Linked DNA regions of Mus musculus: regions 1, 2 and 3 are each reported to be linked to region 4. Evidence: microRNA targets listed by miRTarBase, many of them from high-throughput screens and not tested one by one. Region 4 holds a microRNA gene; each other region holds the end of a gene's coding sequence.

Region 1 (3,121 bases), not on the chromosome of region 4:
GTCTCCATTTCATCCGTCCCTTTGCATTCTGTTGACCGGGAGCTGGGACCGATCCGATTCCCGAAGCCCTGCAGGGAGCCTGGGAAGCGAGTCCTCTGTCTGCTCAGGCCCTTCCTCCTGCCCACCCGCCTGTTGGGCCCTGGCCCACCTTCATCTGTCCTTTCTGCCGCCGGGTCCCATGGCCGGGTGGGCGCTGGAACTGTGCCCTGCAACCCCTTCCGCTAGGAGGGGGCCTCCCCCTGCGTCCTGCCCATCTGTTTTGTCTACCATGCCACCGCTGTCTGACCTCTGCCAGAACCCCCACCTGGCCAGCTTGTGACTTGATGCCTCCAGGACCTCTGGGGAGGAGCGGGGCAACTAGAGGGCTCACCCTCAGAGCCCAGCCTCAAGTCCTCTCCTGATGCCCTCTCTCCATTCCAGGTCCGGAGGGGCCTAAGTGCCACCCTGCTCCCTCCGAGCCTGGCACCCACCATCTCGGCCCTGAACCACGAGGCTGCCTCCACCCTGCCACAGAGGGAGGCACCGTGCAAATGTCTTCCGGGTCCGAACCCTTCAACTCCTGGCTGCACAGGGGTTGGGGGTTGGGACTGTGATATCGCCTTTCAGACCACCTGGGTAGAGGGGCCGGGAGGAGGACGCTTCCTGCCCAGTTCCCCATCCCACCTCATGCGGCTTTGGCCTTGCACACGTCTCCCCCTGTGAATGTAGCCTCCATCATCACAGACTGCCACAGCTCACGTTGGGGCCTGGACCGGTGCCTGGTGGGGACAGCTGGGTGGCCCCTCTTCAAAACCAGGCAGCTGGAACCAGGGGAGTAGCTCCCCTGGACCTCACGGGAAGGGGCTGATCTACATTTTCTCTCTCTCTCTCTCTCTCTCTCTCTCTCTCTCTCTCTCCCTCTTTCTCTCTCTCTTTCTCTCTCTCTCTTTTGTTTTACTACTTAATCTTAACTGATGAATGTAACCTTTGGGTTGCTTGGGGCCAGGGGGCAATTGTAGGGATGTTTTGACACTTACAGGAGGGCCTCCTGGGCCCGAGGCCTTGAGACCTCCCACATCCCTCCCTGGGAGGCCCAAACGAATCCTGTCAGGGAACCCAGCTGGGGCAGGGCAGCCCTGCTTGCCCCACCTCTGCCCAGCTTAGTAGAAGTCAGAGTGCTGATTCAAACCAAAGCTGCCTGTCCCGTGCCCACTGCCTAGCTCATGGGACTCTGTCCCAGACTGTCTTCGATTCCAAACTGACCATCCTGTCCCTGCCAGGGTGCATGCATTCGGGGGTATAGAAAAATATAGTCCCTAAAATAAAACTCCACCTTTCCCCTTTCAAGAAGGGTGATTCTGGGGCTGTCTCAGGGTTCAGGTGCCCCCTGATGTGGCCTGGCTGTTCTGGAGCAGGCTATCGTAGCAGGGAGGACTCTCAGTAGGGAGAACCAGGGGTGGCCCTGTGCCCCAGGGTTAGTGCCTGTGATGTGTATGAGGAGATGGGGAAAGGGCAGGCCTCGTGGATGGTTATAGGTGACTAGGAAAATTCTCAAGTCCTCAATCCATACCCACCCCCGTCACAAGTTTTATTCACCTGTAGTCTAGGGCTGAGTAGTAAGTTTACAGATGTTCCTGTCTGCCCTCCTGACTGGTCCTTGCTGCCGCCCAGCCTGAGAGCTGGACCAAGGCTGGCAGAGCTGCTCAGCCCTCCCACAGTCCAGCAGGGCCAGCCTTCACAACCCTATGTGAGACACACACGCTCTGGCTCCATGCCCTAAGAGCTGGCGGGGCAAGATAGAGCAGGCTCTCTTATGGACGAAAACCACAATGTAAGGAAGCCCCTTCTAGGGGACACCCCACTCAGGCTAAGTAGTAGTTCTAGGTACCCCAGAGACAGAGGGTTACCCGTTTGTGTACCTCCTATTTCTGAGGACTCTTCAAGGAAGGCTAATGGAGAAAATGGCTTCATTTATCTAAACCAACCCAGTGGCCGGCACCTTGGAGCCTACGGCCCACTGGCAGCTTTGGGGGTAGCCAGATGGTGTTGGCCACAGTGGGGTCCTCAGTGCTGAGCCCCAGGTGCCACTGTCCTAGTGACAACAGGACAGATGCAGGCCACCAGCCCCACTAGCTGAGGTCAGGGGAAAGGCTGCATTTTGCATTGTTGCTGGGATACCTCGAGACCTCCATCAGGTGGCACATGCACACACAGGTGGCAGTGCACCTGGGTGCAGACATGTGAATCCACGCCTCTGCACCACTGTGAAGGCCTCTGCATACAAGGGCATGACCATGTGTGTCCTCGTGTCCTTGGTGAAGAACACAAGACTTCCTGTGGCCAGTCCACCCGAGGCGTCCAACTTCCTGCATCCCCTTGCCCCACCCTAGCAGTGCCTGGCCTGGCAGCACCTAGGAAAGAAAGAGAGGAGGGGGGCTGCATTCACCTGGCCCAGACCTGGGTCCCTCCGCATCCTGTAAATATGTCATCTGGGCTGGGTTGGGGAGGCAGGGCCCGGGGCCCACATTAAAGATTAAAGATCACATTCTGGGCTTCCATTGAGCTCACACCAACCCATGTCTCTCCTCTCTCTCTCTCTGTAAGTGATCGCTCTGAGTCAGTCCTTGCTGTCCAGACTCTGGAGTTGTGACAACTCGGCTGCAGAGAACAAGAGCACCTAGGACAGTTGGGGAAGCAGGAGGAAGGGGTGTGGTTTCCCTCAGTAAGTGAGGAAACGGGCAGTGGGCGGAGGCGAGGTCCACCCTTCCTCACAGTCGCCACAAAGACACTGCCTGGTTCCCAACCAGTAAAATTAGAGATGGTGGGAGCAGGCAGGAGGGGGCCTATGAAGCCAGAGAAGCCTTGGGACTTGACTGACACTTACCTTTGTTCCCTTGATCCTTGGCAGGGTGACAGTGGGCTGAGATAGAACCATCACTAGCCAAAAGGCCAAGTATGAACCTGGAACCTCCTGCTGTATTCCTACTTGGGAGGCAGTTAGTTTGGGGAAATGGTTGTGGAGAGCCACGGGAGGTGCCAATCCGCTGAGAGGAGACTGGAGGGAAGCAGTGGGTGAGGGAGAAAAAAGAGGGGGAAAGACAGGAGAAACCCCATCAGGCTGCAGGTACTGGCAACTGGTCCA
Region 2 (3,107 bases), not on the chromosome of region 4:
TTGTCAAAGTGTTGAATCTGTACACACCGGTTAATGAGTTTGAAGAAAGGGTCTCAGTTTCATTTATCCGCACTATACAGGTAAGAGGCTTTTTCTTTCTTACTGATTTACCACATGGTCATTTGAATGGAATATTCACAATGTTTTTGGAAGGAAAATGTGTCTTTATCTTTTGCTTTTCCATTTTTCTTATTTTGCAGTTATATAAGTTTATAGTCCATAAATAGTTTTAATCAAAAAATTAACATTTTCATTAAATTTTTAATAAAAATTTTATAGAAAAATATCTTGCAAGTTGGAAGGATTGATACCCTGTTTGTCTTTTTTCTTAATCTTCTCAGATGCGGTTACGAGACAGGAAAGACTCTCCACAGCTGCTCATGGATGCAAAACACATCTTTCCTGTCACTTTTCCCTTTAACCCATCCTCCCTAGCCCTAGAAACCATCCAGATCCCAGCCAGCCTGGGCCTGGGCTTCATCGCACGGGTCTGAAGTGCTGTCCAAGCAAACGTAGAAAACGCATTTCTCCTCAGAATATGAACAGTTGTTTCCAGTGAGCTACTGAAAATGCATTTTTAAAGAAAAAGTACTGATTATCTCTAAAGGAAGATGTTAACTGGAAATCCACCCCTCCCCCCAGAATCCTTTCGATTGACCAACCTGGAGGACACCCCTCGTACTGTTACCTTTAAACAACATTTATTCTTTATCAGTTGGAAACCTGAGTTTACATACAGCTGAAAGGTGGCAGGGAGGAGTGAAAGGAAGGATAAAGGGGTGTGTCTTCAGCTGACTGCTTTTAGTTTAAATCTTTAGTGCTGCATTTAAGTGGCATACAAAATACAATCCCATATGTATGAACTGTTGTGAACAAGGCACAAAGAACTGAAGAAAATCACTGAATACATATCATAGCAGCTTTGGAGCCAATCATGTTGATATTGTCAAACTGGATCACAAAAATAAACTGGCAACATTAAAGTAACTGGCCAAGTAACTTCCTTCTCTGTGTCCCTACGGCATAGCGATGTGAAAGCTGCTGTTTGCTAGGCCGTGTAGATGCCCGTTTGCACTGTAGCTTACTGAGCATCTTAAGTGGCTGCTGTGTGCTGTCTCCTGACCTAAGTGAAAGTCTTACTAGGACTATAAACTACGCTTCTCTTTCATCAGCTCTGTTTACAAGTCAACCAGATCAGTTCTAACCGGATTATATACAGTTATCCACAGGTTCATCAGCGCGAGTAGCAGACGCTGGGGAAGTAGAGTTAGACAGAGTGGCTGTTGATGTCATTGCTGATCGGGATTATTACATTGATAAGTCATCTGTGTGGATATCACATCATGGTATAGAGTTGTGTAAAGTTACTTGGTTTTAGTTCCCAAATCTGATTCTTGCCATGCATATATTCAACCTTGACAAGTTTTCTTTTTAATTTATTAGGTGTTAGTTTCAGTCACTATCTGGAAAGGACTGTCAGAATATTTATGACTAAGATCTTGAAACTGTTTATCCTATAAGTTATTCAAAATAGGCATATAAATAAATCATTATAATTCAGGGGGCTTAGGTGTTGCAACCTCTATAAATGTTCTCAGATACCACTGGATACTTTAAAAATATCATATTATAAACACATTAAGAAGACGTATGTAAGAAGTATAGGAGATTATTAAACTTTATAGAGGATTTGGATCAGTGAGATCCAGGTTCAGTATGTCTTCATTATGAAATCCTAGTTAAGCATATTCTCCGTTTTTTTTTTCCTGGAAGTCTTATATAGTAAATCCTTTGGGTTTTGCAAGAGCAAATTCTTAGCTTTCATTCCTCTGGTTCTTAATTACAATCATCAATTTGTATAGTTTAACTGTAAGATGGTCTATAACCGTGACATTTAAATATGTGCAATATTATTAATGAGAGCTAAATGGTTTCAAGTCAATGATAAATACTGTTATTAAACAACAATTATTGTTCATTATCTTATTGAAGCCTGAATGTCCTTGTTTATAAAGTGAGAGGGTTGGACAACTGATTGTTCCAGCCACTTCCCTGTTTACAGTTCACTCATACTTGGTTCCTAGAGAAAGGGGTCACAGTCACTCTGTCCTGCTGTAAAGACCAGTGTTCAGTGCCTGCCAGTTCCCTAGGGTCAATACACTAAGTCACAAGTTTATGTAGCCAAAACCTTTTCTTAACATACATCATTTAGGTACTTTACAACACCCTAATTATTTGTATTATTTGAAAGTTACTTAGTTTAAGTAATTTTTGTTCCATGATAAACTTTTTTTGTTTGCTTAGGGAATTTTGTTTTTGTAGTGCTGGGAATTGAACCCAGGGCCTCATTGTGTTAAATAAGTACATCACTGAGCTACAGTCTCGGTCTTCATTCAGTTGCAGTACATTTATTTATTTGCAGGACCTAAAACACTAATTGTCTTCAGTTTTTCTGGGTTTTCAGTATTGTTTCAGTGAACAGTTAGTGCTTAAAGCCATCTCACTAGTACTGAGTGTGTCAGGTAGAGAAGGGGAGTGGGTGGGAGAACTGCCGAGCAAACAGAGCCACGTGTAGGCTCTTTCCTCACTCAGCCCTGGCAGGCCGCCCACACCCTGCTCCCAGCTTAGTCCTGAGTAGGATGCTGATGCACACCTGAGTCTTGTCTTCAGGACATGCTGTCATATCCACTGTCCCTGAACCCCAGTCTCCTATTTCAGACATCTGTGCCCGACAGTTTCTAGCACTTCCGCACATTTTTCTCTGTTGTCAAGAGCTTGGGCTCCTGTTCTACAGCTGCTCCCATTTTGTGGTTCTCCTGGTTCAGTGACAATGGTTCAGAGTCTATGATTCCAGACTTAGATTCTCTCAAGCTGCTCAGACCCCCATGGTGAGTGTGTGCACTGCTTTGTTAAGGCGGGAGGCACCAGGCTTGTGCTCACGGGCGTCCTTTAGGCTGAGTGAGGACCACTCACCTCTACTCTGTCACCTATACTCTCCTAGCTTCAAATACACACCCAGCCTCTCCCTGCCTGTCCCTTCCCCCACTTCCCTAATCTTTCCAGCCTGATGGCTTTCTGTGGCCCTGGTCGGCATGCCTGGGACTCAC
Region 3 (3,121 bases), not on the chromosome of region 4:
TCTAGATAAAAAAATTCATAAAAACAGATGAATGGTCATAAATTATTGACCCCCTAATGGGGTGAACTGCCAAACGTATCCCATGCTGCTAGATATAGGACGCAGAAGTGCAAGCTTGTGTATTACAGTGAGTTCTGACAAACCAACCATCTCCTGTGTAGGTGTGTGTGTGTATGGAAGAGTGTGAGAGTGAGGGGCTGGGGCATAGGCTATCTCTCATTCCTGACACCGGGAAGCCAGCACTAATGTCAGGCCTCCTTGCTAGTTTCCTCTGCTCCTGTCTGAGAACCTGGCTCTGCTCAGAGAACCCCTTCCTCTTTGCCCTGGAGGCCTGGTTCCAAAGCCCGAGGACCCCGGTTTGTTAAGAGCAAGAACCCTGGTGGCATGGAATGAGGTCATAGATGCATGGTTGAATGAAGGAGGGCAGGATGAAAAATGTGACAAAGGACTCCCCACCAAAAGTCCCAAACCAATCAAACAACAACAGCAGCAGCAGCAACAACAACAACAACAACAACAAAACCAAACCAAAAACCTATCCTGTTCCAAGGCAGCCCCGGGTTTCCTTCCCTCCCTTGGAGGGGTACTATGGACTGGCTCTGGTGGTGTCTGTACTGGAATCCAGTGAGTACATCTAGGGCTGGTCCACCTGCTGGAGAGGTAGCTCTCTCTCTCTCCTGGATACAATCAGAATCCTTCAGAGATATTCTTCCTTATAGAAAGATTATGGCCAGGTGGGATGGGCAGACTTTGAAGCCCAAACCAAGAACTCAAGTTTTTCACAGCCATCCAGACGTGGGCCCTCCCAGCTGACTATGGCTCTTTTCCCAAGTGGCTGTCATCTTGTTTAGTGAAGAGGTCTCTGGGCCTGGAGGAGGGCTGGGGGGCCAGGCTGAAGAGCGAGGAGGAGCGATTGTGAGGAGGGAGAGAGTGAAGGATGGAGTTCACAAGTGAGGCGGAAAGTGTTTGATTTCCTCGAAGCACGGGACATCATCGGTCATGGTATTCAAAATGTCTTTTGCACTGTACAAGTTTATGGAAAAAGATTGTATGCTGAAAAGTCTCAAAGCAAACTTTGTATTAAATACAAAAGTTCTTTTATGAAAAAAAGCTGAGACCCACAAAGTGCTTAGCAGTAAGAGGCCGACAGACAAGCTCTTATTAAGTGGGATAACTAGTGCTGTTATTGTTGGGAGAGGGGATAGCCACCTTTTCTCACCTGTGATATGGGAAGATATCAGAATGGCTTTCTGTCTGGGAAAGCAGGACTTGCTGTTAAAAGGCTACAGTATATATTGTAACTACAGGAAGACAATTTGGTTTAAAAATCACACTGAATACATCTCAATGTACACATTATAAGGTTCATTCGGATCTAAATAGTGCAGAGAAAAAAGGCTATTCTTCTTCAAAAAGAAAAAAAAAAAAAACAAAAGCAGCAAGCCGTACCAACCCTCATCCAGTATGTCAGCAGTGTCTATGCTGCCGTTTATAAGAAAAGAAACTTCTAAATTACTAACTAAAAAAAAAAAAAAATTCAACACAATAGCATTTGTAATATCTGAACACTACCTTGACTCACAGACAGTGCCAAAGACAACTCAGTTCTGAAATGCTCTCTGTAAACTCAAGCGAGTTTCATTGAGAGAAAAGTCTTCCTTCTCCGGGTGCACTACAGACGTTGACGTCACCAGACCTGGACGGCCGTGTTGCAAACCCAGGAAGCCTTCTCTCCTCTTCTCCCTTGTCTACGGTGGAGTGAGCGAGCGCGTTGCTTAGCTCCTCAGGGTGGATCCTTGGGAGCCGTTGGCTTTCTGCCTGAGCTTCCCACAGTAGTGACATTATTGAACGGAAATAGCAGGCAAAAATCAGAGCATGGCTATCGTAAAACTTCAAGGATGCAATCCAGGGGATGTGTCTGTTGGGCCCGAGCTGTTTGTAAGCATCTTGGCCACCAGTGTCCTTAAACCACACAAATAGCCAAAGACATTATCTACAGGTTTGTAAACAAATTACATTCTTCTTTTAGGACATAAGTTAAAATAGAGCAATTTAAGCAGAAACAAGGCAACATGCCGGCAAAGGAACTTTATATATCCATGTATATATATGTATATATATATATATATAATATCTACTTATCTATACGCACGTATACAGTCTTCAAGAAGTATACGTTGATATAGATACAAAGAAACGGATATAACCTCGTGAGTGTCTGTGGAGTTCTTGGGTTTCATTGGTGCAAACCTACTCTGTGATTTCAAAAAGTTATTAAATTAATCTAGACATTTGAGACCATGCTGGGCAAGCATTTGAAACCTCATAGACCAGTGGACTGAACGAACAGTAGTCTCTGTTCCAGTTCCTGTTTGCAGTTCCCGCCTAAGGAAACAAACAAAAAACTCCCCTCCCTAGCCCTCCAAGAACCAAATGAGGGAGGGGATTAATAGTGTCCAGGTACATTCATGCTGGGGCCACGGTGGCCGGCGGGTGCATGGCTGGTCCGTGTCTGGGCTGGAGCCTGGAAAGGCTCTTTTTTTTTTTAATTAATTCGTTATTATTATTTTTTATGTTTTGGAGAAAAAAAAATCCACGCCACTCTCTGCTCCAGATGACCCCAGGGCAACCCCGCCCAAGGCCTAAGGAGTGAAAAAGAGTTCAAACAGCATGGCTGCCAGAGAAAGGTCTGGTTCCCTCTCTGCTGTGTGGGTTCCGCCCAGTGCTCCTTGCTGTGTCGGGGAGTTGGTGCCTGGAAGGGTGTGCGCCTGGAGGCGGGTGGCGGCGGGTCCATGAGCGTGGCCAGGCGACAGGGGCCTCAGCTAAAGCGACGTCTCCAGGCTGTGGATGGGGCTCCCTGGACTTGAAGAGGTAGCTGATTTGCTCGTGTCGGTCGTCAGGTTGATCCCGCTGTCGATGGCGCTATTGTTCTTGTTGAGCGAGGACGGCGGGCTCGAGTTCTGCTTGAGCGCGGCATCTTCTTCCAGGTCGGTGTCATCGATGAGGGGGATGTGGGGCTGGGAATCTTCGATCCGGAATTCAGGATGAGCCATGAAGTTATGGATGGAGGTTCGAGACTCGGGTTTTTCTAACCCTTCATAGAGAGAGCTACGGAACGCCT
Region 4 (3,121 bases):
TCCACTGAGCTGTCACTGACTGGCCCACTTAAATGAGATAGGAGAACAATCCATCCTTTCATGTTTTTTTCTAACACTCACCTGGACAGAGGCTCCCAGGAAGCCAGACAGTTCACTCAGTTGATTGAAACAACATAGTTAAAAATCATATAAACATGTAATAATCATATAAACACCTTTAGGTTTAGAAACATTCTAACTCAAGGCCAAAACACAGTGTGGAACATGCCTGTAGTCCCACCACTTGGGCAGTAGAGGCCAGGGGGATTAGGACTTCAAAGTCAGCATCGTCTGTACAGAGGTTTGGAAGTCAGCCTGGGTTACATGAGACTGTCTCAAAAAGACAAAACCTAAGCTGGTGAGATCACTCAGTGGGTAAAGGTGTTTGTCACCATGCCTGATGATCTGAATTTAATCCCTAGGGTCTTTGGAATGAAAGCGAGGATATGGGCTGAAGTGATCGCTCAATGGTTAAGGAGCACTGGATGCTCTTCTGGAGGACCCAGGTCCCACTAAAATCACCCCCAGGGCAATTCCCAATGTCTGTAACTGCAGTTCTAGGTGATCCGACAACTTCTTCCAGCTTCCTCAGGCATTGCATCCAGACATGCAGGCAAAACATCCCTACACGGAAAATAAAAATTAAAAACCAGGCCAGGCAGTGGTGGCGCACGCCTTTAATCCCAGCACTTGGGAGGCAGAGGCAGACGGATTTCTGAGTTTGAGGCCAGCCTGGTCTACAGAGTGAGTTCCAGGACAGCCAGGGCTACACAGAGAAACCCTGTCTCGAAAAACCAAAAATGAAAATAAATAAATAAATACCAGAAACAAAGCAACAAAAAAAAGAAAGCCATCACCAGCAACATGAACCTCTGCAAAACATTCAGAAAAGCATGGAATTGAAGATCTGGGTATAGTATTGATGTCTGTAATCTCTGTACCTGGAAGGAGGATTAGAAATTTAGGGCCAGCAGCCTCTACTATAGAATGAGCTCAAGGCCAGCCTCAACAAAGTAAAACAACACAATACAACACAGAATCCTACTAGTTACAGATAATTTATGGTTCAATGTAACACTCCCTTGGGTCCCTATGTCTAATATATGTGGTGTCCCTGCTAGTGATGAAAAATCTTGGTTGTCAACATGACAACATCTGGAATCAACTAACACCCAAGCTGGCAGGCACTTCGGTGAGCAATTTTATGAATCAGACTATTTGAAGCAGAAAGACCCACCCTAAAACTGGCAGCCCACATATAAAGACACAAGAAAAACCTTCTTTTTGCCTGTTTGTCCTTACTCTCTACGGCAAATTCATCTATTCTGTTGCTGCAGCTGGTATTAAATAAAACTGCTTTAGGATTCCCATGTAGACTGAGACTAGCAGCTATCCAGGAATCTTCTGGGACTGTAGCACCAGACAGGGATTGCAGAGACATCCAGCCTTGTGGAGTAAATAACTACTAGATTTTCAAGCTTTACACTCAGACAGTTGTTGAACTATCTGAACCAGGCTAATACATCTACTTTCAATATGCATATTTACTCTGTCAGTTTTTTTTTCCTTGGTGTTTTTGAGACAGGGTTTCTCTGTGTAGCCCTGGCTGTCCTGGAACTCACTTTGTAGACCAGGCTGGCCTCGAACTCAGAAGAAATCTGCCTGCCTCTGCCTCCCAAGTGCTGGGACTAAAGGCGTGCGCTACCACGCCCAGCTCTGTCAGTTTTTTTAAAGGTTTATTTATTTAACGTATTGGAGTACACTGGTTGTAAGCCAGCCATGTGGTTGCTGGGATTTGAACTCAGGACCTCCGGAAGAGCAGTCAGTGTTCTTAACCACTGAGCCATCTCTTCAGCCCTATTCTGTTAGTTCTATGCCTTTAGAGAATCCAGCAGGTAAGATTTGCCATACGTAGGAAGGCAGGCAGTCCATACATTGTGATAGCTACCACTTTTTAAAAAATATCTTGTTTGATACATAAGGCAATTCACTTTAAAAAAAAAGTTATTTCTTTTTTTTATCTGAGTACACTATAGCTGTCTTCAGACACACAGTAGAAGAGTACATCGGATCCCACTACAGATGGCTGTGAGCCACCATGTGGTTGCTGAGAATTGAACTCAGGACCTCTGGAAGAGCAGTCAGTGCTCTTAACTGCTGAGCCATCTCTCCAGCTTAAGACAATTCACTTTTTAAAAATATTTTCTGGGCTGGTGAGATGGCTCAACAGGTAAGAGCACCCGACTGCTCTTCTGAAGGTCCTGAGTTCAAATCCCGGCAACCACATGGTGGCTCACAACCATCTGTAACGAGATCTGACTCCCTCTTCTGGTGTGTCTGAAGACAGCTACAGTGTACTTATTACATATAATAAAAAAATAAATAAATCTTTTTAAAAAAATATTTTCTTTCTTTTTTGTAGGTTTTTATGTGTATGGGTGTTTTGCCAACATCTATGCCTGTGCACAACATGTGTGGCTAGTAACTACAGAGGTCAGAACAGGGTGTCAGAGCCTGAGACTAGAACTTATGAATTGTTGTAAGCAGCCATGTGGGTGTTGGGAATCAAATCTGAATCCTCTGAAAGAGAACCCAGTGTTCTGAACCACTGACCAACTCTCCAGTCCTAAGTTTTTGTTTTAAAAACAGTCTCCTATAGCAAAGACTAGCCTTACATCCTCTATTGGAGGATAACCCTAAACTCTTGCTCCTCCTGACTGCTGGGATGACAAGCATGAAAGCCGACTTTCTTTTCTCACTCAAGGTCATGAACAACTTTCCAGCTCTAATGGCTATATTAAATGAGCACTAACTTACCATAACTTACTAAACCAGACCTGTTTCCAGAGTCATTTTAGTAGTTTCTAACTTTTTGAAAGAATTCTGAAAGCAGGGTATAGTGGCATACATCTGTCACTTGGGAGGCTAACACTGGAGGACTGCTTAGAATTTGAGACCAGACTGGGCTACACATTGAGTTCCAGAATAAGACCTTATTTTTTTTAAAAAAGGAGAGTCTGTATTCCTTTGTAAAGTGAACTTTAAATTAAAAAAATATATATTTATTATCATTATTGTGTGTGTTGGGGGGAGGTAGAGGCACACACCCCTGTGCCACAGT

The links. Region 4 holds the annotated microRNA mmu-miR-3473a (UGGAGAGAUGGCUCAGCA, at 2,156-2,173, opposite strand). A microRNA usually pairs through its seed, bases 2 to 8, with sites in the 3' UTR of a target mRNA and lowers its output. Matches are read on the target gene's strand: a 7mer-m8 pairs with bases 2 to 8, a 7mer-A1 pairs with bases 2 to 7 and ends in A, and an 8mer does both.
Region 1: miRTarBase lists Adam11 as a target of mmu-miR-3473a. Seed matches in the 3' UTR shown: 7mer-m8 at 891-897.
Region 2: the mRNA of Myo5a is a reported target of mmu-miR-3473a. The part of its 3' UTR that is shown has no 7-base or 8-base seed match.
Region 3: the mRNA of Atp2b2 is a reported target of mmu-miR-3473a. Seed matches in the 3' UTR shown: 7mer-m8 at 924-930 and 7mer-A1 at 654-660.

What each region holds. Positions count from the first base shown.
Region 1 is chr11:102,777,711-102,780,831 of GRCm38, forward strand. Adam11 (a disintegrin and metallopeptidase domain 11) reads left to right here. Exons shown (of 27, transcript NM_009613.3): 27 at 421-2,552. The coding sequence ends at 436. Among named protein-coding and RNA genes, the nearest start is that of Adam11, 18 kb to the left of the region's middle.
Region 2 is chr9:75,217,500-75,220,606 of GRCm38, forward strand. Myo5a (myosin VA) reads left to right here. Exons shown (of 41, transcript NM_010864.2): 40 at 1-80; 41 at 342-3,107. The coding sequence ends at 494. Among named protein-coding and RNA genes, the nearest start is that of Myo5c, 13 kb to the right of the region's middle.
Region 3 is chr6:113,745,715-113,748,835 of GRCm38, forward strand. Atp2b2 (ATPase, Ca++ transporting, plasma membrane 2) reads right to left here. Exons shown (of 20, transcript NM_001036684.3): 20 at 1-3,121. The coding sequence ends at 2,823. Among named protein-coding and RNA genes, the nearest start is that of Sec13, 6.6 kb to the left of the region's middle.
Region 4 is chrX:162,872,765-162,875,885 of GRCm38, forward strand. It overlaps Mir3473a (microRNA 3473a), which reads right to left and starts at 2,231; the gene lies at 2,154-2,231. All of the region lies in intron 4 of Syap1 (synapse associated protein 1), which reads right to left.